Linked DNA regions of Drosophila melanogaster. Each later gene encodes a partner of the first gene's protein in a complex. Each region holds a gene or a part of one and is shown on either strand. Other genes may lie near its edges. The genes, in order: ND-75 and ND-18. A codon is read from its position in the direction of its gene.

Region 1 (16,017 bases):
CATTCAATTTATGCATGCCCATTTGGACGATTAAAAAGCGGTTTGTAGAAATAGTGGCTCTTGTGGATTGTTCGCGTAGCTTCTGTAGTTTCTGTAGCTCGACGGTTGTGAGTCACCGGTTTTGTTGGATTACTGGATTGTCTTAGTAGAGAGACAACGCAAAATAAGAAGAAAACATCTCTCACCTTTGCCTGCTCGCGATTCCGGCAGGTGGTAAATAGATGCTGCGGCGGCTGGGGAAGATTGAGCAGCGCCTTGACCAGGCCCAGACCCAATCCTCGATTGCAGCCGGTTATCAGGATGGAGTTCATGTTTTTTTTTTCCGAAGATCCGCGATCGAGTTGCTCGAAATCTTATCGCGTCGTACTTGAGATAAAACCAATAAAGGGCGGCACTACTATACGGGTTCCGTGTGTTCTGTGGATTTCACCAGACCCGCAGCCAGATCTTTCCGTGCTTATCAATCGACTTTATTGCCGTAACACAAGCGTGAAAATAGTGAAATGTTAGGAAAAATTTTGACGGCCGGCTGTTTCGTTCGGACAGCAGCAGTGTTACCAACCATCCGCGAGTTATCGATACACTTGCGCATTGCCAAACGTGCGTTTCGCACATTTCCAATTGGCAAAGGGCAGAACAACTGTTGTGATGTTCAAATCCCAAATGGAATTTCGCAATCCAATGGATGCTCCTTTATGGCAAATCCATTTTATCCCAAACATTCTCGTTTTTGCGGTACGCGCTCTTGCGCCCTCTCTCTTTCTCGCTGCTTCTGTTACGTAGCCGTTTATCGGCGCCTCTGCCTGCCCACCGCTTTCGCAGCATTCCCGGCCGAACCAGCGAACGTGTTTGTGTTGTGTGTTCCGCCGTCATTTTTCTGCACCCTTTTCGCGAATAGTTTCGTTTCGCCTCCAGCTGGTAGAGTGAAACGCCAAACGTTGAAGAAGGGGAAAGGCCAACAAGATGAACTTGTGCAATTCGAGATTCTCCGTTACGTTCGTGCGGCAGTGCTCGACGATTTTAACGTCTCCTTCGGCTGGCATTATACAAAACAGAGGCTCACTGACAACAAAGGTTCCCCATTGGATTTCCAGTAGTCTCAGCTGTGCCCATCACACGTTTCAGCGAACTATGAACTTGACGGGACAGCGAGGATCACGCGACAGTACTGGAGCTACCGGTGGGAATGCTCCAGCCGGATCCGGTGCCGGCGCACCACCACCCTTCCAGCATCCACATTGCGACAGGGCGGCCATGTACGCGCAACCGGTGCGAAAGATGAGCACCAAAGGAGGTGAGCATCGATATCGATTGATATTCTGATTAGATCTTTGCTGTTGCCGCCGCAGCTGCTGCTCCTGTTGCCGCCGGTTGGCAACGCGGTCGATTGTCGCGGTTTTCTTGCTTGTTGTTTTTTCTGGGTCTTCTTGTGTTTAACCGACGCCATTATGCAATAACCGTTAGTTGCCTGGCCAAAAAGTCCATTACTCTGCTCTTATTACCTGGCTTATCGGGTTTCTGCGGCACGTATTCGCCAAGGGTTTATATGCCTGCCCGGCATTTGCTGTCTCACATTTGCACCGTCATCGTCAATCGTCATCGCGCACCCGCTCCAACTGGAATTGTACAGTCGGGGTCGCGCGAACAGCACTCGAAACTCGTATCATGCTGAAGTACATGATTTGCGCCATCGTTGTGGGCGCCAAAAAGAGCACATCCTCTAAGTATAATGGTCAACAAAGTTCTGAATCGCGTATAAATACTATGTCAGTCGAATTTTTTTAATTGAATTATGGATTGCTCATAAAACCATTACTCAATTGCAGCTTAAACAATATCAGTTATTTGCCTCAAAAAAGAATTACATCATATGACTTAACGAATTAATAATATTTGTTAAATTACATTCATACAAGTCACTTGTATTGCCATTTTGCCTTTAGCTGGTAAAAAAAAACTAATATCTATTTATATGAAGTTAAACGTATTTGATGTTTTAATTTGTAATATAATATAAATCCCACATGCCACGATCAAGTTTTCTTGTTAAATGAATAATTAGCCAATCGAGCAGATACGAAGCTTCTAATTCCGAAAACAATAGAAGAATTTACTTATAAATATATGCCATATTCTGATTTCAAATGGTAATTAAGGGTATAATAGGATTTCTTAAAGCACCAACGTGATATGTGTGATTTTTGTCGAATGCGGTGCTCTTGAACGAATAACCCTTTGCGGAATGTTCGAGAATCGCTTTATGATGATGATGATGATGATTTCACCATATCAGTCGGGTGCATTTATTCCCTTTATCTGTGTTTTCTATTTCGTATCTCTCGTATCCGTCGCTCAACGAGCGCCCGCCATCGTCTTTGATCTTTCATCATCATTGCTGAGCTGCGTCATCACCACTTCATTCCGCAATTAATTGCAGTGTGACGACAACAATTGTTTATTTGCACTCGCATTCGTACGTAGCCACCTGATTTCCCCCTGTTCCTGGCCAGGATTAGCATTCCGTCCGATAAAAGCGAATTGTGTGTGGTGTTGCCAACTAGTTTTGGGGCGTAACCATGACAAAGTCCGGCGGGTCAAAGCAAACCGAATGGGGGGGCGTAGGTGGACGGACGGAAGAAAGGCGTGGCCGGGCTGGGATGGGCGTGGCTTGGTGTGTGGCGATGTCGCTAGATGATTGCTCCACTTTGATTCGAACTCCCACTGACCCAGTGGCATGTGTGGCATTCGGCAGCACTATCGCTACCTGGCAACTGAAGCCAAGGAGCTCGACGGGATTGCACGGTGCAGATTACGGATTGCAGGAGGCCAAACAGTCTTCGTTCCGCACTTCTTTGGTCTGGATGCATCTGTTCGAATTCATACCGGCTTCCCAGTTGGTCGAGGGTGAACCACGCCACCGGAGGAGCATCTACCGATCCGCCTATCTGGACATACGACTGCGCGAGGAGTCCACCAAAGGCAGGCGGGGATTAGCCATAATCATGAGTGAAGCTAAAGAGAAACTTGAGTAGTTGGCACCACATGGCTAATTGATATCATTACCTATCACTGATAAGGATTTTCAACTAATCTAGATACTGGTTAAGAACAAAAACAGACCATGCCAATACAACATGGCTATTGATGTTACTAACGGTGATAAGTTTTTAATAATACAAGGTGAATTGGCTGTGCTACGATTAGATTTCCTGACGGCTCCTCATGTTCTGTGACCTCTTGACCTCTTTAAGCCCAATTTTGGCAGTAGATTACATATTTCTATAGACAAAAGGCGATGAATCAAACGAAAACCTTTTTTCTCCTGCAGGATCCTACGACTACGACCTTATTGTGATTGGAGGCGGCTCAGCTGGCCTGGCCTGCGCCAAGGAGGCAGTCCTCAATGGAGCCCGTGTGGCCTGTCTGGATTTCGTTAAGCCCACGCCCACTCTGGGCACCAAGTGGGGCGTTGGCGGCACCTGCGTGAACGTGGGCTGCATTCCCAAGAAGCTGATGCACCAGGCCTCCCTTCTGGGCGAGGCTGTCCATGAGGCGGCCGCCTACGGCTGGAACGTGGACGAAAAGATCAAGCCAGACTGGCACAAGCTGGTGCAGTCCGTACAGAACCACATCAAGTCCGTCAACTGGGTGACCCGTGTGGATCTGCGCGACAAGTAAGTGTGACTATATCTATGGCTTCCGCTCGAGCATCCCCACTAATTATACCCTTCTATTTGCGCTCAGGAAAGTGGAGTACATCAATGGACTGGGCTCCTTCGTGGACTCGCACACACTGCTGGCCAAGCTGAAGAGCGGCGAGCGCACAATCACCGCCCAGACCTTCGTCATTGCCGTTGGCGGCCGACCACGTTATCCGGATATTCCCGGTGCTGTCGAGTATGGCATCACCAGCGATGATCTGTTCAGTTTGGACCGCGAGCCCGGCAAGACCCTGGTGGTGGGAGCTGGCTGTAAGTAGCTACTTTCATTTGCTTACATCAAATTGATGAATAACCCATTCGGTTTCTGCTCTTTCACTCAGACATTGGCTTGGAGTGCGCTGGATTCCTGAAGGGTCTCGGCTACGAGCCCACTGTGATGGTGCGTTCTATTGTGCTGCGTGGCTTCGACCAGCAGATGGCCGAGCTGGTGGCAGCCTCGATGGAGGAGCGTGGCATTCCCTTCCTCCGCAAGACGGTGCCGCTGTCCGTGGAAAAGCAGGATGATGGCAAGCTGCTCGTGAAGTACAAGAACGTGGAGACCGGCGAGGAGGCCGAGGATGTTTACGACACCGTTCTGTGGGCCATCGGCCGCAAGGGTCTGGTGGACGATCTGAACCTGCCCAATGCCGGCGTGACTGTGCAGAAGGACAAGATTCCAGTGGACTCCCAGGAGGCTACCAATGTGGCAAACATCTACGCTGTCGGCGATATCATCTATGGCAAGCCAGAGCTGACGCCCGTCGCCGTTTTGGCTGGCCGTTTGCTGGCCCGCCGCCTGTACGGAGGATCTACCCAGCGCATGGACTACAAGGATGTGGCCACCACCGTTTTCACGCCCCTGGAGTACGCCTGCGTCGGCCTGAGCGAGGAGGATGCCGTCAAGCAGTTCGGAGCCGATGAGATCGAGGTGTTCCACGGCTACTACAAGCCCACGGAGTTCTTCATTCCCCAGAAGAGCGTGCGCTACTGCTACTTGAAGGCTGTGGCCGAGCGCCATGGTGACCAGCGCGTCTATGGACTGCACTATATTGGCCCGGTGGCCGGTGAGGTTATCCAGGGATTCGCTGCCGCTTTGAAGTCTGGCCTGACTATTAACACGCTGATCAACACCGTGGGCATCCATCCCACTACCGCCGAAGAATTCACCCGGCTGGCCATCACCAAGCGCTCCGGACTGGACCCCACGCCGGCCAGCTGCTGCAGCTAAAGCGGGAACGCAGCTCAGCCGCCTGGGACGTGTCGAAGCCGCTTGCTCCACCCGAAATCCCGTAGATGAATGGTTGTTGTCGCGGCCCAGCGATCGATGAGTTCAATAGTTCCGTTTCGTTTCCACAATTAACACCCAACACAATAGCTCTGCGCAAGGGAGGGGCACTGGGCAGCGATGGCGGGTGGAACGACACCAGTGGAACTACCCGCGCGACCAGCCCAACCCACGACTGCTGCGCCGCCGACATGCACTCAAAATTTTGAATTTGTTTGAACCTATGAAATTAACTATGAAATCCCCTAAATGTACGGTTGAAGAATATAATTTTTCACCAACAAACCCCTCTGTGTTTCAGTTCTGTGCATTTCCTTTAAAACATACCTCGACCTTTAGCCCTTCCTCTGCCTTTTCAATCAAGTAAGTTCATTAGCCATGCAAATGGCTTGACTTGACCTGGCTAAATCGATTCTGTCTGCCAGCCTGACAACTTGTTAGCCACCCGACTAATTGCTAATGCCATTGCTAGGGGAATCTTTGCCCTCGAGGGCTATAAATCAGCTACGAACGATGGCACCCTGGAGATACATATATCAGTGGGTAATAAATTATACTTTAGTTTTCAAAGGAAAAACAGTGCGTGATAAAGTGTAATAGAAGCTACGAAAAGGTTGAAGTTTATGACCTAAGGAATCCTCGCAAGCAAATCAAAATCAAATTAAGACAGTAAATTGATGCAATCAATTAATGAACAGCAAAGAGAATTCAATAGCTTCTATAAGGAATTAGCATTAATCATATATGTATGTATGGAACACTTTCGAGGTGGTATCTCCGATTGGATGCCACGAAACAAAGCGAGATGGCTATACTATGAACCAAGCGACTTGGAATAGCCCAATATACCCATAGTGAAACCCAACCCATTGATAAGTCGCTGTTGTGATATTTTTTCTATTACATTTTTATTTTGGTTTTCCTATTTTTCGTATTGAATAACTCCTTTGTTTTGAACAACGTAAGACTTTTTCATTTACAACTGACGCAGCGCTGGCGCCTCTGCAGCCGCCGATCGTGCTCCTCATCCCGCTACTGCGCTGGCTCTTCCCGCGGCTCGTCCTGGTGTCTTTGTGTCCGTTAATTAGTGGGCGAGTGCGGCGCGAAAGGACGAAGGGCAGAGTTTAAAAAAAAACATTAATTAGTTATTAGTTTAGATCAGACGCGAGAGTGGGCGCCTAGATAGCCACACTCTGCTTGGCCTCGTTCTCCCGCTGCTGCTTGTTGACCGCCGATATGCACTTGGCCATGGTGGGCGAGGCGCGCGAAATGGCGTCGGTCATGAAGTAGTCGCGCAGCTCCTTTAGCTTAATATCGATGGCGCCACCGCCGATGGATTTGCTCTGCAAACAAACAAACAGTAATAAATTACAACTTTCAATGGAGCATAATTTCAACTTACAATAGTGCCCGCTGCTCCGGCATCGCCGGCTGGCTCCAATTGGCCCAGGCGCGTTAGATGTGGCGCCACATCCTCCAGACGGTTGCGCAGCTCGTCCAGGTTGTCGTACGGCAGCGGCTTGCCCACCACCTCGGACAGAGCGCGCAGGATCTTCCAGTCCTCGCGAGCCATACCCGGTGGCGAAACACCAGGCAGCGTCTGCTGCGGCCTGCCCTCCGTGTTCACGTAGATGCCCTGCTTCTCTGTGTAGGCGGCACCAGGCAGAACGGCATCGGCAATGGAGGCGCCGTTGTCACCATGCGATCCAATGTACACCACGAAGCAGTCCTTGGGCAGCTGCTCGCGAGTCACCTTGCCAGCGTCGGCGTTCAACAGGAACAGCACCTTGGGCTGAGCCTTCACAGCGGTCTGTGCACCGGCCTTGTAGCCCACATCGAGGGCGCCCACCTGGGCGGCGTTGGTCTGCAGCACATTGAAGGGGTTCCAGTTCTGTAAGCGAAGCATGAGATTAAGCAGGAATTCATGTGAGCAAAGGGATGACAAACTTACCGGCTTCTTCAGCTTCTTGCAGTACTCGGCAACGGTGGCGTGAATGGCGGCACCATCGGCACGCTCCAACAAATCGGCTCCAATAATGATGGCCGGCTTCTTGGCACCCTCCAAGACCTTGGAGAAGGCATGAGCTCCGGAGCACACGTCCTTGACTAAAGCGGCATCGGCGCCAAGGTTCTCGTGGTCGTAGGACAGATCGATCTTGGGTCCAATCGAGGCAATCTGCAGTTCGTTGTGCACATAGGCCTTGCGCAAACGGGTGTTGACCAATGGAGCCTCGTAACGGGGATTGGTGCCCACCAGGAGAACGGCGTCGGCCTCCTCCAAACCGGCAATGGTGCTGTTCAAGAGGTAATTAGCACGGTTGTCGGTGCCTCCGGCAATAAATCCTTGTTCAGTGGCGACCACTTCGCTGCCCAGACGGTTCAGCAGATCCTTCAGGGCCACCTGAGCCTCCAGGTCGGCAAGTTGGCCAGAAATACCGGCAATCTGTCCACCGGCTGCCTTAATGGCCTTGGCCACGGCGATGAGGGCACCCTCCCACTCTACGGCCTGTAGTTCGCCGTTGGGCATGCGCACCATGGGAGCCACCAGGCGCTGGCGCTTCAGACCGTCGCAGGCGAAGCGCGATTTGTCAGCAAGCCATTCCTCGTTGACGTCCTCGTTCTCACGGGGCAGGATGCGCAGCACCTCATTGGTGCGGGTGCTGACGACAATGTTGCTGCCGACGGCGTCCAGCACATCGATGCTGCTCACCTTACGGATCTCCCAGGGACGGGCCACAAAACTGTAGGGCTTGTTGGTCAGCGCTCCCACGGGGCACAGGTCGATCACGTTGCCGGACAGTTCGGTAAGGAAGAGCTTCTCCACGTAGGTGCCGATCTGCATGTCGTTGCCACGGCCAGTGGTGCCCAGGTCATCAACGCCGGCAATCTCGGAGGCGAAACGCACACAGCGGGTGCAGTGGATGCAGCGTGTCATGATGGTCTTGACTAGCGGTCCGATGTCCTTGTCCTCGACAGCGCTGTTAACGCATTAGGTAGAATTCAGTTCAGGTTATGGAAAAGGAACTTTATGGATTATTCTCCTTACCGCTTGCCCGTGTAGTTAATGTCCGTGAAGCGGGATCGATCGGAACCGAAGGCCATGGCCTGATCCTGCAGATCGCACTCGCCGCCCTGATCGCAGATGGGGCAATCCAGCGGATGGTTCATCAGCAGGAACTCCATGACGCCCTCGCGCGCCTTGCGGGTCAAATCCGAGTTGGTCTTGATGCGCCAGCCCTTCATCACGGGCATAGCGCAGGCGGCCACTGGCTTGGGACTCTTCTCCACCTCGACGAGGCACATCCTGCAGTTGCCGGCCACCGCAAGACGTTCGTGGTAGCAGAATCTGGGTATCTCCACGCCGATCTGAGCAGCAGCCTAGGATTTGCAGGGCATAGGGGATATGGGTTTAGAAGGCACTTCCCGCGAACGAGGGACTGGAAACCAACCTGGAGGACAGTGGTGCCGGGTACCACCTGCACGGGAATGTCATCCACAAAGACCTCGATCTTCTCGGGCGCTTTCGCCGGTGTCTGGGCCACCATGGCGCTGGTTCGCACCGCCCGGCTGGCCATCTGATGTGTGGGCGAGCCCAGAGCGCCCAGCGCCTTGACTAGCGGTGCCCGTATCATATTTTCTGCAACGAGATGGTAACCAAAAATCCGTTGCAATCGGAGGAGCCAATAAAAATTACATAAGTGTTTTGGTACGCTGGTTGGCACAACACTCCCGCATATCGATTGTTCGCGATTCGTGTGCGTTTTCGGAGTCAGCTCCTCCACTGCACCGCCATTTGCCACCTGAATGGGGATCCTGGAGGATGCCAAAAGTGGGCGAAGACCTACCGAAATGCTGGAAAATATTCCTGTGATCTTTTAATGTGGAGACAACTTTTTTTTTATCGGATTTTGCTTTGACAGACCGACCGCGTTGCCAACTGCCGCGTTGACAGCTGGTCAATCGCAATAGTTTATCGGTTTTTAAATTTATTCCTTAAATATAAATTTATGTGCGACACCAATTTATAAATCTCCGAAATTAGTTTTCTATTCAAAAAGTATATATTTGATATTGTTACCTGCTTCGATTACCACCTTCAAGTTCAAGTGTTACTGTAGTTGGCAACGCTAGTGAACAGCTGTTCAATTTGTTTGGCCATTCACTTGTGAGCGAACTCAGTATCAAGCTTCAAATCTCAAATCACAGATGGAGCCACTCAACTAATTTATTCGCGCTCTCAAAATTAAACGAATTTTTAAAACTTATTACTTCAAATTAAATATAGTTCACTTATTTTATTTAAGTTCAGAACTGTATTGTAAATATTTTATTTTTGTTCTTGACTTTAAATGATTTGTTGTTAAATATTTGACAGTTTTGATAGAAGTTTTTTTTGAAGTTTTTACCACGTAAAATTAAATGTTTTGTTTTATTTTCAGTTCTCTTATCAGCTAACACTCATACAAACGTATGTGCGTACTTATGTATATCTGGCCAGGATCTTTTCCGCTTCATACGAATTAATCATCGCATAAATTACCGGCTTAAAAGTGCAGCGTTATTCTCGTTACACAGAGAGAAATTTGGTTTAATTTTTTGCATAAGATAACACTTATCAGTTGTAAACAGAGAACAGAATTGAAATGATTTAATGATTTGTATGTAACAATACTGCAAATAACACATATAATATTAAGCATGCCAAACGCTGAAAATTAAGACTTCCAATCTTAAATAAACTAAGCGATTTAGAACTCATACTCTTTTGAAACAATTACTCCAAATATTATTCTACACATCATCTGTTTCATTTCTTCGGCGCGTGTAGAGTGGGCAAATATTAGGCATCAGAAGACTGAAAACTGGTTGCGACAACTTTCGTTGCGGCCGCCGAAGAAGTCGCCCCGTTTGGGCCAAGTTAGTTAGCGTTTTAGCTCCGCTCGAGACGGTCGTGCATCTTTTCTCATCGCATCGGCACTCAGATCCCAAAAATTCCCCCAAATCGCGCATTTCCAGCATACGGAGTGCATCACTTGGCGATATATTCGAAAGAAAGAAAGGTGCGCGCATGCGCATATGGAAAGCGGCAAAAGCGGCAAAAGCGGCGGTCGTGTGTTCTGCAAGACGGAGCGTGAAGTGCGGCATTGTTTGCATTTAATATATATAAATATTATATATACACATATGTATTTATTTTGTATTTTGTTTTGTTTGTATTGTGTGCCTCTGCCTAAATGCGGATAAATATGCGGAAAACCTAATCCGCCAAAAAAAACGAAACAAAAAAAAACATAACAAAAAAGCAGCTGAGGAAAAACAAAGATCGCAACAACTGGCGACGTCAACTGGCCATATCGATTGCAAGCCAAGCGGGGCTGTGTGACACTTTTCCGCGGCGCAGCAAAACAGGTTGCCATCATAGCCAGCCATTATAGTCGTTTTGGCCAGCACCTAGGGCTGCTTCACCTGCTCGCCAGTTTACCTGGATCACCGCCTGGCTAATTTGGTGGGCATGCTGTCCACTTTGTTTCGCCTTCCATAACGAAAGCAAGCGGGGAAACGCTGAAAGGTTTTGCGAGTGGCGCGAATCCGCGATAGCGGAGCAGGCGCAGGACAGCTCGAGATCCGTATCCATAGCGGGAGCCAGATCGAGATCGGAGCCCAGAACCAGGATGTCGGACATATACTACTGCAGCAACAGCCAGGTGAGTTCTAGTTCAAATCAATTACGCGTGGCCGCTGTCAGGAAATGCGGCTAATTCCAGCGGCCAGTAGTTAAACTTAATCAGAGGTCTGAAAGTACACATTTCTCCGGTTCTTAATTGGATTATGAGGCGAACTTGGAACTTCTCTTTCTTCGCGACTGGCCAATATGGCAGTAAAATTCTGCATGGCCTGGGTATGATTAATTAAATCTGCGAACGCTGTTATATGTCTAATTAAGAATTAAGAAACTAGCACAGTTTTCTGGATTCCAAATGCACATAAACTACCATTTCAATTTGATTTACTTTTACTAGAAAAGTTTGGAAAGCCATGCTGATCTCAGTTCGTAACTTGCCAATGCCTTAGATAGTTTTTTAGATAGAAAATCTAGTATCTCGCAGATACATAGATATTGAGTGGCAAAAGCAAAAGGACCTAAGCCTCTCCCTGCGCCCAGGGGCCAAAATCAAGTGCATTGTTTTGGCCATTTCCCAGACAATAGTGAAATATATCCGCGGATTCCTGGAGGCCATTTACCATAGCATTACCCATTGCCATGCCTTTGGAAATGCCTTTCGAAATTCCAAAAAAATCCGATGGGGCTGCGATTATCTGTGGGGATTCTTGAAAGGGCAACAACACTCGCTGGTTATTTGGTCATTTCGGTTTTTTTGGTTTTCGTTGGCTTATTTTTGGTCACTCGGCTTAAACGGCTTTCCAATCGCTGTCATAATTGGAAATCGTTGAGCTGCCATAATTAATGAAACAAAAGTAAAAGCGTCGCGTTGTTTGGCTGTTTGGTTTTTTTTTTATATGTTTTTTGTCGTGCTGCGGATTGGCATTATGCAATAATGCTGCACTACTAGACGGCGATATCGGTAACCTGCTAACGATTTCCAATCTGCAACGGGATCGCATCCACAGTAGTCGTCCGCGCATGTACAGTGGCCACTCGTGTTAACGCCCTCTTGCGATCGCACACTTACTATTCCGCTCATTAGAGTAATCAGTTGTATGATCATTCATATTACACAGCAATAAAATGTTACAATACTCACCCACTTCATTGTGCATTCACTTCTAATAACAGGTAAAGCAGCAGCTTAAGTTCGAAAATGAGTTAATTTTAAGCAAAATGTAATGGTAGCTTAAAATGTATTTAATATAGTAATTTATAAAAATTGCACTTGAATATTTTGTATATTTCTATTGAATCATAGACTTATTTGACCGCTTTGCTTGCATTTTGGCCCACTGTGTGAGCTTTGGCTACTGCTAAGTTTATGGAAATTACAATGCCACGCCCCCTTTTCGTAGCTGGGGGCAGCAGCATCCCCACACACACACACACACATGCACACGCACACATGCATAGAAAGAGAGCAGCGACTTGAGCTGCGTTTAAGTGAAAGTGCGTCCCGTTATAAGCCAATTTTGACTTAGTAACTTACTTTTGCCGCTCGCTGTTGTTGTTATTAAAATTGTTGATTGTTGCTTTTGCCGCGGGCGCTTCGCTGTTAAAATCTGGCCCGCCTCAACGAAAGAAATCAAAAGTTTGTCACACTGCAAAAAAAAAAGTGGTGACTTAACTTAGGGACTAAACTTAGATATTTAACAAGAAAGTTATGTAGAATCCCAAATGGTTGGCTTTTCATTAAATTACGTATAGAACTTGATTTGCATTGGCGTATTGCTTACAAATTGGAATTGCTTCAAATTAGACTCTTATTTCTTTCTGTGCATAATGCGTTGTCGTCTTCTGCGTCTTCGCAAATCTTCAGCTCGCTGCGATTTTAATTTGCAACTGTTTTCTTGCAAAAATGTCTGTTGTTTCTGTTGCTTTTCTTTATTATTATTATTTCCCTCTTGTAATTTGTGTCTTGTTTTATTTGTTTTTTTTTCTTTTTGTCTTTCGCATTTTGTGTCTTGTATTTTGTATTTCTCCCAGCAATCAGCAACTGTTTTTTTTTGGTGGCATGTATAAATTTGTTTGTGAAATGAGTCGTTGAATACTTTGGACGGGTGTTTCTCTTTCTTTTGTTGTCTCGCCTGATGAGAATTTTTCGAATAACAAAATATGTCGTTTCTAACAATAATAGTGTTAAGTTGCTGGCTTGAAAACGAATATGCTATGCTCTACCCTTGAAATATTCAAAAGAAGTTGCTAGCAGATTGATGATTTTGTTATTGAATTAAGTTGAGATTTGAAAAGCTAGTAACTTTTAATATCTAAAAATTAAAAGAAGAAGAGTGTTTGTTATGTTTTAAAAAATCCATTCCAACAAATTGTCTCCATTAAATGTTGCGTTCTAATGGGTTCGCAATTGAAACCAAGGCCATGGACTACGAAAAAAAAACTGCATGTGAAAGACATTTGTTAACGGTATTATTCACCACATTTTTGGAACCAAGGCTTTTCGACCAAAGTTTGACCAAAGTTTTTCTCGCTTGTTAGTTGTTTATTGTTGTTAGTTGTTGCTTGGTCGATGTTGCTTGTTGCAGGGCGTGTGTGGCTTAAATAGGGCCTCTACCCCCCCTCCCTCTTACTGTTGTAATTGTTGTAATTGTTGGTGTTGGCCGCCAAAGGCAAAACAACGAGCATTGAGCAATTTGGAGTTTTGCTGCGATTGTTGTGGGTTCATTCCATTTCATTTCATTTCGATTCGTTTCGTTTTCTTCTCACAAGTCCGCCCGCTGTAATTTAAACTGCGATCTGTATGAATACATACGTATGCATATGCACAGCTGCAAGCGAAGAAATAGGTTTCGTTTTGGCCAAGTTACGGAGATAATAACCATGCTTGAAATTATCTGATTTTTGTCAATTTTTTTTTGGTTAAAAATATTCTGTATTTTTTCGATAGCAGTCAAAATAATTGGCCAAATATGGAATGTCATACCTCGTTGAATTCGTAACGAAATTCCCTACCGAACTGTATTCAAACATGGAAATTTTAATTTTTTGCCACTTTTCGCAAATTTTGATGATGGTACCCCTTACAAAAAATGCGAAAATTTGGGCCAAAATTAATTTTTCAAAGTCCTTCCAAAAGTGACAGGGATGGTTAGTATTGGTAATTAGGAGCACAAAGTTATACCCAAAAAACCCATATTAAATATTGAATTTTCTGACAAAAATCGTTTTCTTGATTTTATGCGAAAAAATAATCGGTAAGTTTAGCATAGCACTTAAAATAATGGCCCAAATATGAAATGTCATACCTCGTTGAGTTTGTTTCTTAAATCCCAATCGATTTGCATTCAAATTTGGGAATTCTAGGTTTTTTCAATTTTTTGCAAATTTTGATGATGGTACCCCTTACAAAAAATGCAAAAATTTGGTAAAAAATTAATTTTTCAAAGTCCTTCCAAAAGTGATAGGGATGGTTAGTATTGGTTATTAGGAGCACAAAACTGTTATTCTTTTGGCTGTGTGGGCATTTTTAGCCAAGTTATACCCAAAAAACCCATATTAAATATTGAACTTTTGGCTAAAAATCGTCATCCTGATTTTTTGTAAATAAAATAATCGGTAATTTTAGCACAGCATTTTAAATAATGGCCCAAATATGGAATGTCATACCACGTTGAGTTTGTTTCTTAAATCCCAATCGATTTGCATTCAAATTTGGGAATTCTAGATTTTTTAAATTTTTTGCAAATTTTGGATGAATTTACAAAAAATGCGAAAATTCGTGAAATTTTTTTTTTCCCAAATCATAAAAGTAGTGATAGGGAAAGTTAGTTTGGTTTATTACCAGCACAAAACAGTAATCATTTTTGCTGTGCTATCTTTTTTGGTCAAGTTATGGAAAAAACCAAGTTAAAGAATGGTCAAAAAAAGTAAACAACATTTGTTCTCCTGTTGAAATGTTATTCTACCTACACAAAATGCATATTTCAACATAAGTAAATTTATTTAATTGAATAATCATTTAAGCGTATTACTATATTGAATAGGCATTCAATGGTGGTAATGAATAATTAATTAATAAATGTTTTCCATCTGAAAAGGAAAGACCATAGTGCTGTGACCGCGACTGTGCGTCGCCATGTGTGTGTGTGGCTTGGCATTCCAATAAGTCCATGGGTCTAGTCTCGGTCTGGAGTTGGGGCTTGGGTTTGGGTTTGGGTTTGAGTTTGGATTTGGATTTGAGTTTGAGTTTATGCGCCAAAAAGTGATTGCAGCGACGACAACAACAGCAGCAACAACAAACTCGTTTGGCTTAGAAACAAACGCAACAACTTTCAGTTGTCTGCCGACGATTTTGCTTTGCGGCGATTTTTTCCATGTTTTTCTAGGCTTATCTGACTCGTGGGGCCCCATTATTGTCTTAGCTATTTTCGGTTTTCGTTGGCGAATTTTTCCCTCACTCTCTTCTCTTCTCAATTTATTTGTTTTTTTTTTTTGGTTTTGTTTTCTTCGCCTTTTTTGCACAATCACCAGCGACAGCAGAAATCACTAAAGTCTTAAGAGCGCAAAAGAACAACAAAAGCGCTCAATCGGTTGGCAACTATCAGTAATAAACCAAATTTGGGAGTGCATAAAAATCAAATTAATACCAAATTTATTTGAAATCAACAAAGATGTGGGGAAACTTTTCGTTTTGCACAGAGATTTGCCTATTAGCCATATTTTCATCCATCTTCAAGCTGCGTTTTCCACTGGCTGTCGCATTTTGCAGTCATGTGCAACAGGTTCACCTTACCAAAGAAAATCCAGCAATAGCAACAAAAAGCAACAATATGAAACAAAATGTTGTTGCCATTTGGCCAAATGCCACAGCATAGCAACAACTTGGGGGATTGGCAACAAAGTAAGCTGACTTAACTCTCTGAAAGTCAGCTACTCCATTAATATATGCATTGTATTAATATATACACAATATATATATCTATGTATCATTAATAGAACTACTAACTACAGCAAACAATGTAAGATTTTGTATAATTATTTAATATTAAATAAGCAAATATTGCCTAAAAGTTTCCAAATTGAAACACAATGCTACCAACTTTTTATTTCACGTCGCGTAACATTTCCAGTGCTTGCGATCGTGGGCTTTAGTGGGTTAAGCTGAGCTTGATTTTTCTGCTGGTCTGAGCACAATCAAATATTTTCTGAATCGACCTTTTGACAGAGCAAAGTAGCAAATCATTAAAGCAGTAAAGCGCTTAAGCAGCGGAAAAAACACTGTGGAAAATACATAAGTAACTCACGTCAAACGTTACCTGCCATTTGTTATAAACTTAAAGGAAAAAAACACAATGGATTTTGTAGTAATTTTTTTTCCGTGTACACTTACGGCTGCTCCTGTGAGTGCA
Region 2 (13,866 bases), about 11 Mb from region 1:
TAGGTGAGTCTTTTAAAACGACAAAAGCTCGAGTGAGCCCGCGTTGGGGTCGACTGCACCCCAACGGCGTCCTTATGTCGGCAGATTTTGACGAAACTCTCGGGAATCCTTGCGTTAGTGGTGATTGTCAGCGTGGCTGATCCCGCCGAGGTAATGTAGCGCTTCTGTCCCTCCCATCCTGGCTGGGAAAGCTTTTTCTCAATCTGCAGCTTGACCTCAAGTGAAGGCTGGGCTATTGCTCGGCGCTTTTGTTTTGGTTTTGGTTTATTTTCTTGCTTTCTTTCTTGTTTATTTTCCTGTTTTTTTGCTTGTTTTTCTTGCTGTTCTTGTTCTGAGCGAGAGAGAACCATGGAATAATGACCACACTTGAGGAAAAGATTTCTTCCCTACCTGCCATTTTTCTGTGCAACGTTTTGGGAATAACCTGCTCGCAATGATTTAGTCATGTGGCAATTGACGATAGCTGTCAAAAAAAAAATCGTTCAAAATTCCAAATTCAAGAATACAGTATAATCACAGGGCTAGCTCGATAGCCTCCCTGATCTGGCAATTCTCTAGCTGAAGGCTCTGCGACCGACAACTAGCGAAAAAACTATGCCAGGTCAGAGATTTCTTAGGAATTTGCGACTCCTTGCTCACGCGACACGTGCAGAGTTTCGATTTGAATTCAAAAGAAAACATTTGAATTTTAATTGCCAAAACAAATTGATAGAAATGATTGAAATGATCTGCCTTCACTAGATTTTCAAAGATTGTAAACAAATCACGAACGAGATTGCTCAATACATTTGAAATTAGCCACAGATTGCGTGGCACTGACAGCTTTATTCAAAACAAAATACGTCTTATAGGACAGATCCTTCTTAAAAGCTAATTTACACAATGCAGCTTGGCATTCTATCGAGTAACAACAAAATATGGGTAAAGTCCAGTTTATTGAAAAAATATAAAGACGAGTCAGTCTCATTTTAGTATTCACATAATCCGCAACTCTAAAAAAAAAATGATCTATCGTGTGCGGCAATTCTAGTGCCTCGCACAGACTAGGAGAGATAGAAATAAGGTGATATAAGATCCAAATAGCGTTGCATTTCTTCAGCTAGGTGGGATTTGAACCTAAAAATACCCATTTGTTCGCTCTTAAGTTGGATGCGGGGAGTCGGGCAGTATGTATTCCAAGTCGAACTTGGCTCCGATGCGAGGCACTCGATGCTTCCTTCGGTTGACCGCCTGCAACAGAAGCGAGTAAATGGAATGAGTAAATTATGCAGAATAACTATCTCTATCTCCTCCATTACCTGGGATGATGTCGTTGCTGTGGGCGCGTTCGCACTGCCTGTTGAGACCCCATCAGATTCGGACTGCGACGCAGCCGGCTGCTGTCGGCCGAGAGGAAAGCATTAGTTCGGTAATCAAGGCTTTGACTTGTAGCCAATGCTTACCTTAATTTCAAGCGTTTGCATCAGTCCAATCACCTGTTCGCCTGCTGATTGTACCGGAAGACTAGAACTGGCCTTTGTGTCTATAGTCTCGTTCGTCGGTTGCTGCAACACAGGCGAACGACTAGGATTCTTGGTGGCATCGACGTCCTGACGACCGGCTGGTTGGACGCGATTTAATTTCTTGGGACGGTACGCCTGTATGGGCACAAAATCTTGGATCGTTGAGTATCGCGGTGGCGCATTGTTGATCTCCGTCAGCTGGAGTGGCTGCTGCTGCTGCTGCTGCTGCTGCTGATTCGGGTAATATGGTTGCTGGAGGTGCATGTGCACGTTGTTGTTAAAGGTGCTCTGCGCAGCTATATTCTTTTTGGGACGCATCTGATATCCATTGTTGACGCCAGCGTGGAATGCGTTGGCGTGCTGCATGCGCGGGTGCACCCACTCATGCCACTGCCTTTTTGATGGAGCACCCAATGGCGGCTGATTCAACGCCGCTCCTGTCTGGCCGCTTCTGTAGAAATGCTGGCTATTGATACGTTCAGGCTCCATTTGCGCATGCGCCTGCTGCTGCTTCTTCTGCGCCTCCTGCTGCTGCGCCTCCTGCTGCAGCGCCTCCTGCTTCTGCGCCTCTTGCTGCCAGAAGAGCGGTGGCTTGGGTAGATTCTGCAATGAAAAGTAGTTATGTGAACACATGGTTGGGTGGCACATCTGGGCTGAAAGCAGTTACGGGCATTTGTCCGGGAAACGGAGCTCTTTGCTGTTGAAGTAGTGGCGGACGTTGCTGCTGCACCGCCTCCTGGAGTGGCGGCGAGCTCTGGTCCTCACCCACGCCCAAAACCGACATGAGCGCCAAGGTCTGATCCAGAGGAGTCAGCGTTGCGGACGAGGCTGCGGTGAATGCAGTGGAAGCAGTGCTTGCAGCTGCATCAGGAGTTTTTGTGGGCGGAGCAACAAAAATACTACCGCCCTGTTGACGTGATGAAGACCGATTTATGCGCCAATTATTTGGCGCAGGCTGCGGTTTGTTTGTTGGCGTACTGACGCGTTCCCGCCAGTTGGTAATCTGCTCCGGCACCGGCACCGGTTTTGGCTCCGACGATGGCTTGTACGAATCCGTACGGGCTATCGGATCGCTACGCGTCTTGACGAATTCGTCGCTAATTTGGGTCTTCATCGTGATCGGGACCGAGGTGGACCCTGCGGCGGTCACATAGCGACTGCTGGTCGCGCGGACTGGCTCGTCCTGTGCCTGGTTCGGCTGAGGATCCCTCACCGGCAGTTCGCAGTCGTTCTGCTTCTTTCCTTCCTCTGCAAGGAGAGGAAGTGGGAGCATTGCTATGTATGTGCCTCCTCCGATTCTGTAGGCTATGCAGCCAAATCCACTTACCATCCGTCTTGATGATCACCAGGGCAATTTCGGGCACCTTGTAAACTCGGTCTTCGGCGATGCCATGGATGTTGTTGCAGTTCGGAACGGGGCTGTCGAACAGCACCTTGCAGAACGTGTCGACAGCATGGACGCACTCCAGGCGGACCGGGTTGGGGTCCGTAACGGGATGAATGCCAATCACGGTGCCCTTAGTGCCCACGGGCACCATGTAAATGGTGCGTACGATTACGACGCGATCGAAGAGACGCACCGGGCGCTTTGATCGGTAGACATCTGGCAGTGTGACATTGGGCTTGATGAGCAAGTGCGGCTTCACCTGCAGTTTAACGTGCTTGACGGGCAGTGAGCGCAGGTCGTCGACGGCGGCTATCAGCAGTTCGATGGTCTCGCGGCAGACCGTCTTGGAGCCGCAAGAGATGCGCTCCACTTTCATGTGCGGCTGCTGGCGCACCCAGTTGGCCAGTTCCTCGACGCGGCGATGGCCAACCGCATTGGGGAACACGTCCTGTTCGAATACGAACTCGGCGCGATCGTTGGAGTCGCCAAAGAAGTCGATAACGTCTGGGTAACGCTGGCAATAGTTGCGCATCAGATCCACGGCCAGGCTGGAGTAGTACCACTGGTTGTTCGTGCGGAAGCAGTATCCGGCACGCTCCTCGTTCTGCCGCGGATACTTGAGCTGCAGGCCAATGTTGTGCTTGGTCACGTTTTCCATCTTCTGACGCCGCGGACCGAGCACCACCCACACGGTGCCACTTAGGCGTCCCAGGGTGCGGCCACTGATTCGGAGCAAGTTGCAGACCTGGAAGGTGCTCAGATAGTCCCGGTCCCGCTCTTCCTGCAGCTGACGTGCCGCATTTACTTTCGGTTCCGGTCGCACCATGATGCTGACTGCAGAGATGAAATGATGATGGGGTGTCAAGGACATGGCGAGACGAACTTACCTTGAATCCGGCCGTTGGTGTAGGCCAGCCGTGGGTCCTGCACAGTTCCCTCGCTGCCGTAATACGGATCCGTGATCAAGAAGATCGTGCTGCCAACGGGGAAGTAGTGCTCCACGTTGAGGAAATTCTTGCGCATTCTTTCCCACACAGTCAGATCGGCCACCACGCCCTGGGCTGGATAGCCGGTGACGGAGCTGCTCCACGAGTCGCGCACCATCAATGCCCCCTTGTCGCGGAACTCCGTCGAATTGCCGGCAAAGGTGCGCACATAGACGAGCACATCATAGTTGGCAAACTGTATTCCCATACGATTGATAAAGCTGTCGTGGGAGGAGAAGGAGGAAAGGGAAGATGGAGCATTAGCAGTGTGAATGCAGGGCCAGACGGCGGCTTCACACTCAACTGTTCCTGCAGTGCCTTGCATTCCGAGTCGAAACGCCGCGAATCGTTTAGCGTGATTCCCTCGCTGTCGACGCGCTGATCTCGCGTGGCCACGCGCACCACTATCGCCTTGACGAGATGCGGCCAGCCGACGTGGATCACCTTCCCGAGGTACTGGGAGGCCACCGCCGTCAGTGTGTCCTCCAGCTGGCGCTTGCGTGGTTTTAGCACAATGTTCTGGTTGCGACTGACCTGTTCGAACACCTTGACGCGGTCGTTGCGCAGCTCGAACTGGAAAAGAATAGCAAGCATATTAGACATGGCGGACATGGCGAGCGTTATGCATGTGTCCCGGCGTCACTCACATCGAAGGGCAGATGCTGCATGGTGGGAAATCCCGGGAAGAAAACGGTTCTCGCCGCATTTGGTAGCTCGATGCACACGCTGTACGGCAGATTGACTGCGATTTCGTGCGACCACTTGGCCACCTCCGTGCAGTAGAGCACGGGAAGAGCCCTCAGCGGTGGATACGCTGGCATGGGACCCTGCGCCACCGTACTGTATTTGTACACATACATGGGACCGTGTCGGTTGCGTTCGCGCTCCTCCAGCGACAGCTGAGCCTCGCATGGCAGCATAGCGGCCAGCAGCCGACCCTCATCGATGAAGGGTATCAGCACAACCGCCTCCCAATCGTGTTTCTTGCCATTGAGGTCGCTCTCGAACTCCAGTGGATAGAACTCGGCCAGCGGGCTGGTCGGCAGCAGCATGAGGTCGTGGTAGGCGACAGGGAGAAGCTTTGCACTGGCCGCCGGCAGTACCGCCAGAAGCTTTATATGAAAGATTGGACAGATGGCTTAAGTAAATCTAGTATGTGTGCAGATATATGGATACATGGATAATTTGGTTGAGAAGATTGCTTTAACCAAATGATCTAGCACCACCATTGGATTAGAGGGAGATAGATATATGTTAGAAAGGAGATACGCAAATGATAGTCTAAATTGGTGGCTCTGGTTTATGTTTAAGAAATGGTAAGCCTGATGCTAGGAAAGTTATCGGTGCTAACTAAATGTGCTCAGCTCACCTGCTGGAATGGCAGAAAGGGCGTGCCCATGTGGAAGGCGATCTCCACCTGCTCGATGTTCTTGAGGTCGCTGATGAATGGAGTGTAGTGGAAGGGATAGTACCAGTCCCAGGACTGCACGCCACGGTAGTAGTAGTCGAGCACCCACTGCAGCGCATTGACGTAGTGGTGGCACAGTTCCTCGATCAGTTCATCATTCGGATCACGCTTGAACTTGTTGCGGTAGAAGTTTCGCTTGTAGTTCTGGAACTCCTTCAGAAGAACCGCGTTCTCGTCGGAGCAGTCCTCCTCGCTGTCGTCATCGTAGAGCTGTGGATGGGAAGGCGGCATTGAGCGGACGGAAATGACGGGATGGCGGTCAGTGCAGAGAGTTCATACCAGCATGCTCTTGTTGATGAGGGCTCCGAGATCGGAGTCGAGGTTTTGAGACTCGGTGATCTCGCCGACGTCCATGTCGAACGCCTCTGATTTGTTGTTCATGTACTTCAAGTCGTCGGCGTGCTCCTTGAAGTGATCCAGCTCCACCTCGGTGAGGGCCGATATGAAAATCTGCAAGCGGCGCAGGTTGAGCTTGCCGTTCTCGTTGATGTTGCCGCCGAGGGTCGGGTAAATGCCGATGTAGGTGCGGTAGAGCAGCGGCAGTGCATTTGATGAAATGTGCAGGCACGGCAGGTGGGGAATGAAGTCGTTGCCGACCAAAAAGCCCATCAGCACCCAGTCGTCGATAAGCTGCGCAATGTCCAATTTGTGCTCGTCTGTTCTCAGGGCGTCGAACTCCAGCTCGAGGTACTCGCGCAGCAGACCCAGGTGCAGCAGGAAGAAGCGCGTCTCCTCCACCGAGGTGCGCTTGACGTTGCGCCCGAACTTGACCTCCTCGCGCAGCACCACGAAGTGCAGCTCGTGGGTGCAGAGGCCCAGAATGATCAGATCGGCGTCCAGGCCGTAAAGGCAGTGTCGTGTATTGGGATCATAGTCCGGCTGCGTCTTCATGTACCGAATGTAGTCCATGATCTTGTGCTCGCCCTCGCCGGGCGCCTCCTGGCCACTTAGGATTACGGTGCAACGCTGCCACAGCGGATCCGTCGAAATCTTCGTTTTGAGAAAGGCGCGCAGTCCCTCCTGCAGACGCACCATGAATTCGGTGCCCGGCGTAATGCAGTTGCTGTCGAAGCGCTCGTGCTCTCGCAACTCGCCTCGCTGGGCCGCCTTGGCCTCCTGCTGCTCCGCCTCGCGCGCCGTCCGGAATCGCCGGCTGCGCTGCTGGTTCATCTTGGCCCGTGGAGCCACCCCGTCAACTGAAAGGAAGAAGAGGCGCTGCGGCTTGATCAGGTAGAACAGCTTGTCTACGTAGTTGAAGATTTCCTGGAATATCTGCTCCTCCTCCAGGTGAAAGTGTATGTTGTTGTCGTCCGGATGCGAGCAGTTGTGGACAATGCCGTTCATGTCCAAGTACAGATTGTCGAACTCGGGTATCTGCAAAGGAACCGTACGGTGCATGGCAACATATAACGTGACCTAGCAGCTTTACTTACGCAGTGCTCCCGCGCCAATTCGCTGAGGCACGGATATCGCTCGCTGATGTAGCGAAAGAACTTGGGAACGCCCATGTCGCTGTTCTGGATGGGACTGTTCTGCCGCCGTGCTGTTCTGCCTGGATCAGTGGCAATTTAGATGAACTGAAAAATTTGTGTCTTTATCTGTTTTCAACATGTATTGATTGACACAAAAGTTGCAAGTAGGCGAGGCGTTGCCACAACGTTTCGCTATTGCCATGTGGTAGGGCCGGCGGCATTCCGCAGTTCGATGAATAACTGAAAGAATAAGGACCCTGACCGATTCAAATCGATATTAGAATCGATAAGCGAAACGGGCTCCTTTGCCAATAATCAGCTAATGGTGAAATTAAGCTAAAAGGAGCTAAGAACACCTACATATCTGGCAGCACTGGGCAAATGCAATGCTCATCATTTAAACAGTTGGCTTACAAATAGCATAGTTTTAGTTCTAGTTACTTCTCTAGTTCATCATCAGTGTATTTCATTTCATTCATTTTCATTTTAAAGTTCATTTTACCACTTGAACAGCATTTCATAGTTTTTGCGAAGTTCGAAGTGAAAAAGAAGAAAACTGTTTTTGAACTATTGTGGCATCGCATCCAAGGCGAGGGGCCACACTGTTTCCAATTAGAATAAAAACACTCACCGCTCGCCTGGTCACACTGGCACTGGCGAACAGCTGTTTTCCCAATCGAAAAGCGCTTGTGTTCCAAATTTTACGTAATTCGTATTTTGAAGCCGATTTCTGCCGTGTAGCCCCAAACGCCTAGCGAAATGTCGGCCCTCCGCCAAGTGATGTGCAGAAGCACCGCCTCCCTGCAGCTGTAGGTACCCCCGCCTGGCCGGAGCAAGTGCATCCGACCTGGCAAATCTGCAGCCCTCTAATTATCCACTTTCGCATCTTGACACCGCAGGTACCAGGCCAACAGGGCAGCCGCTGCCCGCTGGGCATCCACCGCCACGGACGGCGGTCCGCTGGACCCCAAGACGGCCCTGGCCCGCCCCGAAGAGCTGGAGCAGCGCAACAAGCTGAGTGGCAAGATCACCGTGCCGACTGCCGTCAATCTCAGCCCGATCAGCGGCGTTCCGGAGGAGCACATTCGGGAGCGCCGTGTGCGCATCCATATTCCGCCCAAGAACGCAATGCAGAGCGGCACCGATAACGTGAACACCTGGCAAATCGAGTTCGACAACCGCGAGCGCTGGGAGAATCCGCTCATGGGCTGGGCCTCCAGGTGAGTAGCTGGCACGTCCACCATGCCATGGCAACCTTGGTCAACGTCTCGTGTTCCAGCGGCGACCCATTGTCCAACATGAACGTGCAGTTCGGATCCCCAGAGGAGGCCATCACGTTCTGCGAACGGAACGGATGGCGCTGGTACGTCGACGGCGCCGCGAAGCCCAAGAAGGAGCGCGTCAAGAACTACGGCATCAACTTTGCCTGGAACAAGCGCACGCGCGTCTCCACCAAGTAGACGCTCCCCGCAGCTAGCCAGGATTATAGACCACAATTATCTGATTTTTTTTTTGCTTTGTTCATTATCTGAGTACCCAAATAAACAGTCGGCTGGACTCAAATGACCACAGCACCATGTAATGGCCACCAGTTTCGCTGCCAATGGAAGCGGCACCATCACATGCCGCTCTAATGACGAGCGGTTTGGGAGCGATGCCTATTGTGCTGCTTCTCGCGTGGCTCTCGCTCCTCCCGACGCCTATCGCCATGTCGATGCCTGCTCGGACTGCGGCTTCTCTTCCGGCTGTCATCATGATGCTGGTACCAATCTCTGCGCTCGTTGCGCCAGTCCCGATGCTCTTGTCGCTGTCCTCGGTCCTTGTGCTCCTTAAAACGATCCATTTGGTCGTTATGCCGCCCTCTGTCCTCCTGGTACCGCTGCCTGTGCTGCGTTTGCTCGTTGTGCCGCCATTGGTGCTCCTGAAACCGCTCCGCTGGCTTATCGCGTCGTCCCTTGTGATCCTGTTGCCGCTCCGTTTGCGTCCTTTGCTGGGATTGCTCAACATACCGTCCGCGGTGCTCCTGTCGGTCGACTTGCTTATGATGCCGCCCGCCGTGCTCCTGTTCCCACTGCTTCTCCAGCGCCTGCATCTGCAGGCTGACTAGCTGGTGCAGCTCCTCGTTGAGCGTGGGCTTGCTCTTGCGGTGGCGCCGATGATTCTTTTGCTGACGCCGGGTTTCGCCCACCACCTCGGCGAAGGCGGTGTTGTCCTGGAACTGCGGGTGCTTCTTGGTGTGCTTTAGAACGTGCTCGTAGATGAGCAGCCGCTGACTCGCGTCGAGTCCTGCCTGCAGATCATCAAAGGAGGCAGCAGGAAGGAGGCGTCGTGCTCTTTCGGTGCCCACAATGCCCTGAATAGTCGAGTCATCGAGCTGGATGCTAAAGTCGGGATTGTTGCTGCATGACGCCGGCAATGGCAATGGCTCTAACACCTCCGATTTAGTTGCGCCGTTTTTGTCCTGTGGTCTGTGGCTACCCGCCCCCATCACCCCGCGCTCGCTCCAACCGAAGCGCTGCAGGATGACGTGGAGACGCCTCCTGCTGGCTGTCACAAAAAGACGCAGCTGTTCTCGCTTCTCGTCCACATCTTCGCCAGACATTTTTAGCCAGCGCGAAACAGAACAGAACAGAACAGCAAGTGTTGGGAAAGCCCGAAATGTGCGGCCAGTGCTGCAGAACGCAGCGTGTATTTACAGTCCTAGAAAGTTTGGAATATCTAATCTATGGTGCCATTCGGCTCCTGGAGGGGATGCGGGATGCAGGAGCTCAGCTCCAAAAGAGAACGGTGAAGGCCATGATCAGGCAGGCGGCTCCTACCCACGGCGACTTGCGCTCCCCAATCCTTGCCAGCTTCCAGAAGGTGCCCATGAATCTGCAAACAGACAGCAGACGAGTGTTGAGTGTGGTAACAATCAGTGGACTGGTCAGGGCGGGAACGGGCACCTACCCGGTCTTGTTGCGGTCTATCAAGCTGGGGAAGAGCGAGCGCAGGTAGGCACAGGTGCAGATCAGCAGCAGGATGACCGACAGCAGGCTGTGGAAGTTGAACAGGGCGCTCTGTGGAGGGAAACGGTGCTAAGTGTACGACGGAGGAGTATCGGTTAGGTGAGCGTTTCAAACCATGATTTAGCAAATCGAAATCCGTGCTTGGCGATAGAATAACAACAAGCGGTAAACTAGTGACGTGCCAGCCGCTCGGCGCAGGCGAACTGGTTCCAAAACTGGAATCTCACGTTTCGACTGATTCGATAGGTGGTTAATCAACTGTTAGAATGATAAGGAATGTTACAATGTTTAGGAGTTAATATAAGAATATATTTATATTAAATACATATTTTGGCGACCTACTTCCATTATCTGGGATGGACATTGGATAAATATTTTACAATAGAAAGTAACAAGCTCTTAGCCAAGTTCCCACAGGGAGCATAAAAACGCCATAGGAAGTATTGAAAAGTGCAAGAGTTTACAAAAGACATCGTATACAAAAAAACGTAAGCTTAATTTCGATAGTATCGGAACTTGTATTGCAATCCAACCGTGGGTCAAGTAAATGAAATAAGATAAGACTTTGTTTCAATTAACGTTGGCAGTGGAGCTTCCCCCAATTGAAATATGTGCCAATGGAATCGGGCTATTAGGTCAAGTGAATTCAATCGACTGGCGCGGAACAGCAATCGATGGGTCCACACTTATCGCACATAGTATCGCATAAACATCGACGCAGTGGGCCACCTCTAGCAATTTGTCTGCAACTTCTAATTCGCTGCGGGTATTTTTTTTGTGTTTGTTGTTACATATAATCCGATCAATTTCGATCGCCCGCTTGGCAAATCAGTGTCTTGCTGTTCCGATTGGTGAGCTTTGGCCAATTCTCGGCGAGCGTCAGTAAATCGTTCGATTTGGCTTTAAGTCCGCCCGTGCTTTTGCGTTTTCCTTGGCTCTTTTCTTCATTTTTGTGGCCCGTTTTCGTTTTCCACTTGGTATCGCGAGGGGATGAAGGAGGGGAGCAGGAGCGGAGAATCCCGACCGAGTGCATCCCCAATGTGTGTGCGTGTACGTCTGTGAATACGATGGTGCTGCCAATGCAATTGTAACTGAGCGCGCTCATAAAAATCAAAAGTATATTTAGATATACATGTACATATATATAATAATCGGATACGTTTTCTCATTGCCCCCCCTGTCGGTGTGTGTGCGTGTGTATTTAAATCAGTAATACAGTGTGTGTGTGACGAGCGCGCTGGGTTTTGTTGTTAAGTGCGAGTGAGTAAGAGAGAGGGAACACGAGCGAGACAGCAGCCGGAGCAACAGAGAGGCAAACAGGAACTGCAACAAGAAAAACAATAACATTCTGTGGCAGCAGCAGCAGCGATGACTTCCAGTCGCTGCACTGGCAAAGCGGTAAGTTCCCGACTGCAATATTAAGCTAAGCTATGATCCGCGAATCGGTTCCTTGCATGTGTATTTATGTAAGTACACACACACACCCGCACGCGCGCCAAACACACGCACTTGCGTGTATCGTTGACGTCGGCGATTACAGCACTGTTAGCTGCTAACAGCACAGTGACGGCCACTCGCATAGATCCGCGCCAAAGTTATCGGAGTGCCCCACTCGAGGGGCGGTAAATCGTGAGTGAAAAGTGTAAAATACAAACAGTATATGCTCTTTTAACCCCACCCCCAATTTTAAAGTGCTACGGTTTAAAGTGCTGCGAACCGGAGGTGAGTTGCATTATTATATCCTCTTCCAGTGCTTTCATGACACATTCACCCATGGACCTACACCCGCGAACACCAAAACACTACGCACATGCGCAGAGCGGCCACCGACACCGATAACACACCAATGCAATGCAAAAAAGTCGCGCTCTAGTGTGCGCTCTTTATTTTTGTTTTTAGTTTCGCTCCACTCTGCCTTCTGTATTCATCGGGTGCATTTATTGTTATCGGTTTCTCTTCCAGCAAAGTCGGTAATCGCTGCGTGTGCCTCGATTCGTAAACGGTAAACAAGCAATATTTTGTTTTTCATGCTGATTATCATGTTGATGAATGAAGGAGCATTTACGCAATTGTTTTGTGAATTTTCCGCTGTACACTGAAAGATTCTCTTTGTGGTTTCTCCATCTCCCTCGCTCTCTCTCGCTGGCCGATGGCCCACCACACAGGCATTCACACACACCACCACCGCGCGCACACACACACATTTACAGTAGGCCGCCATTGCTCTGCTGCGCAGCTTTTACAGTGTTGCATTCTGCCGCGCAGTGTTGTTGCTGCCGTGAAAGCTTTTTCGGCCCTTGTTGTGTGCCCATCTTTCGTTTTGTACAGATGTTTTTGCCATTCCCTTATCACCTTACGCTTTATGCGATACCTAGACTATCGGTTGTTTATATCATCTTTTGACCGGCGGAAAATATGGGAATGAATATTAAACAATTGTTAAAAATTTAATTAATAGCAAATCTACCAAAAGTATAAGCCGACGTTTATATACTCTTTCTGTTAATTTTATCAAGTTTTATCCATAATGCAATTAGTTTAATTGCTTACTTTTTATAATAATACATTTGTAAAGTTGTAATAATATGCTTAGAATGGCTTAGAATGTTACAATTTTTCGGGTGAGGAATATTTTTCATTTTTAAATAAAATCTTCTCATTCCATCTAAAATACGTTCCACCTCAATTCCTTTGCATGGCTTTAAATATTATATTACACTGACACATTCACCATATGTATGCATATTTAATCCATTTAATTACGTATTTAAATTTATTGTTATTAATTAAATGCATTGCATATCGTTTGTCAGTTACCAAAGTTTCACACGCGGCTATCTCTGTTCAAAGAGATCGCCATAGTTTCTCAAGGTGTAAGGGACGGAAGTGCAATAAAAGCTTATCGTGTAATGACACGCGTTTTAAGATTAAAACAATGTTACAAATCGTGCTATTTGCCAAGCCAGCAAACTTGGTAATGGCTTGGAGGTGCAATATTTAATCTCTTTTATACACTTTTAAATGCCCTGTCATAGGTGTAACGGAATATTTATATATTTTTTGCTTTTTTAGGCCAAGTTGGAACTAAACTACATATTTGATGTGAAAAGTACGTTCTTGCAATCTGTCTTATTGGCTTTTCACTTTAAATGGGCATAGCATAGTACAATATATTATCAGTAAATCCAATCAGATTGATCTCTTTTGTAGGGGTGCTGTTTTTTCGACCGCTGCTGTTGCGCTATTTACCGCAACCTTTCGTAATTCCTGCATAGGAATAGCCAAGCGATGCGGACTCGGGACTCCCGGATTCCGAGAGTCAGCGACATCGGTGGAATCGACGGGGTCCGTACCCCGTACCGTGCTCGCCTATTGCGGCTATGCTGTTTTGTTTGATTTTTTGGTACTCGCTCGGCGATCCGATCGGATGGTATCATATCGTGGGGGATCGTATGGGATCGGATCGCTCGCGTGCCGTTTCGTGTCGTATCGCTTCGTTTCGCATCGCTTTCGCAAACGGCGGTCCGGGGCTCCGCGCACTTGACTCGCTCCGCTTTGCGCATTTTGCTCATTTCGATTTTGCCAAGCGACGTGTACGGAACTGAACTGAACCGAACTGAATTGATACGCGGTTCGGCGGATTCGCTTTGTACTTTCGTTTCTTGTGCTGTTCTGTGTGCTGTGCGCCCCCACATCAATATCGAGTCAAAATCAAGTCAAAATACGAGAATTCGTGTGTTTTTTCTCTGTTCTTTTTTTTTAACTATTTTGTTTTTTTTTTATTATTTGCGTACTAAGAAATTAGCGTTGTAGCAAAAGTAATCTGTGATTTTTTTTTCCGTTCTGTTTTGTTTACCTTTGGCTTGTAACGATTCAAAACAAATAGCAAATCGCGTGATTAAGTGATAAAGTGGCCAGAAGTCGGTGGTCGGGCGCTCTGCACACTGCTTGCATTCAGCGCGCGCCTGCACTGCTTGCATTCCAGGGCAATGGCTCAGTCGACGGCAACGGCGCCGCTCTACGCCGGCTACAAACCCCTGATC

Evidence for each region.
Region 2: the proteins of ND-75 (region 1) and ND-18 are in contact, whole or in part, in a cryo-EM structure (PDB 8B9Z), measured with the Drosophila melanogaster proteins. Residues at the interface, in NP_511083.1 of Drosophila melanogaster: Thr58 (codon at 8,447), Gln61 (codon at 8,438), Glu69 (codon at 8,343), Arg72 (codon at 8,334), Tyr75 (codon at 8,325), His76 (codon at 8,322), Glu77 (codon at 8,319), Arg78 (codon at 8,316), Leu79 (codon at 8,313), Ala80 (codon at 8,310), Val81 (codon at 8,307), Ala82 (codon at 8,304), Asn84 (codon at 8,298), Gln143 (codon at 8,121), Glu146 (codon at 8,112), Cys147 (codon at 8,109), Asp148 (codon at 8,106), Asp151 (codon at 8,097), Arg195 (codon at 7,897), Val197 (codon at 7,891), Ser201 (codon at 7,879), Glu202 (codon at 7,876), Asp207 (codon at 7,861), Thr211 (codon at 7,849), Asp238 (codon at 7,768), Arg260 (codon at 7,702), Lys261 (codon at 7,699), Ser263 (codon at 7,693), Val276 (codon at 7,654), Thr281 (codon at 7,639); in NP_573385.1 of Drosophila melanogaster: Arg83 (codon at 7,911), Arg85 (codon at 7,917), Pro90 (codon at 7,932), Lys91 (codon at 7,935), Asn92 (codon at 7,938), Ala93 (codon at 7,941), Met94 (codon at 7,944), Gln95 (codon at 7,947), Ser96 (codon at 7,950), Gly97 (codon at 7,953), Thr98 (codon at 7,956), Asp99 (codon at 7,959), Asp109 (codon at 7,989), Asn110 (codon at 7,992), Glu112 (codon at 7,998), Arg113 (codon at 8,001), Trp114 (codon at 8,004), Ala122 (codon at 8,028), Ser129 (codon at 8,108), Asn130 (codon at 8,111), Arg151 (codon at 8,174), Tyr153 (codon at 8,180), Ala158 (codon at 8,195), Lys159 (codon at 8,198), Lys161 (codon at 8,204), Lys162 (codon at 8,207), Arg164 (codon at 8,213), Val165 (codon at 8,216), Lys166 (codon at 8,219), Tyr168 (codon at 8,225).

What each region holds. Positions count from the first base shown.
Region 1 is NC_004354.4:8,242,766-8,258,782, forward strand, and holds ND-75 (NADH dehydrogenase (ubiquinone) 75 kDa subunit), read right to left. Parts: upstream 8,923-16,017; 5' UTR 8,832-8,922; intron 8,687-8,831; exon of another isoform or gene 8,624-8,686; 5' UTR 8,619-8,623; coding exon 8,436-8,618; intron 8,365-8,435; coding exon 8,033-8,364; intron 7,965-8,032; coding exon 6,938-7,964; intron 6,878-6,937; coding exon 6,389-6,877; intron 6,330-6,388; coding exon 6,165-6,329; 3' UTR 5,886-6,164; downstream 1-5,885. Other genes in the region: sni (sniffer), read right to left, coding at 186-311; Trxr1 (thioredoxin reductase 1), read left to right, coding at 964-1,294, 3,329-3,674, 3,745-3,971, 4,043-4,929; CG1632 (uncharacterized protein), read left to right, coding at 10,659-10,691. UniProt on the Drosophila melanogaster protein: Core subunit of the mitochondrial membrane respiratory chain NADH dehydrogenase (Complex I) that is believed to belong to the minimal assembly required for catalysis. Complex I functions in the transfer of electrons from NADH to the respiratory chain.
Region 2 is NC_004354.4:19,484,963-19,498,828, forward strand, and holds ND-18 (NADH dehydrogenase (ubiquinone) 18 kDa subunit), read left to right. Parts: upstream 1-7,458; 5' UTR 7,459-7,574; coding exon 7,575-7,624; intron 7,625-7,714; coding exon 7,715-8,035; intron 8,036-8,094; coding exon 8,095-8,275; 3' UTR 8,276-8,375; downstream 8,376-13,866. Other genes in the region: pcm (pacman), read right to left, coding at 1,141-1,230, 1,299-1,379, 1,443-2,105, 2,170-2,750, 2,830-3,723, 3,777-4,096, 4,180-4,448, 4,523-4,987 and 3 more; CG12204 (uncharacterized protein), read right to left, coding at 8,446-9,417; ksh (kish), read right to left, coding at 9,584-9,689, 9,765-9,874, 9,938-9,940; Pfrx (6-phosphofructo-2-kinase), read left to right, coding at 13,813-13,866. UniProt on the Drosophila melanogaster protein: Accessory subunit of the mitochondrial membrane respiratory chain NADH dehydrogenase (Complex I), that is believed not to be involved in catalysis. Complex I functions in the transfer of electrons from NADH to the respiratory chain.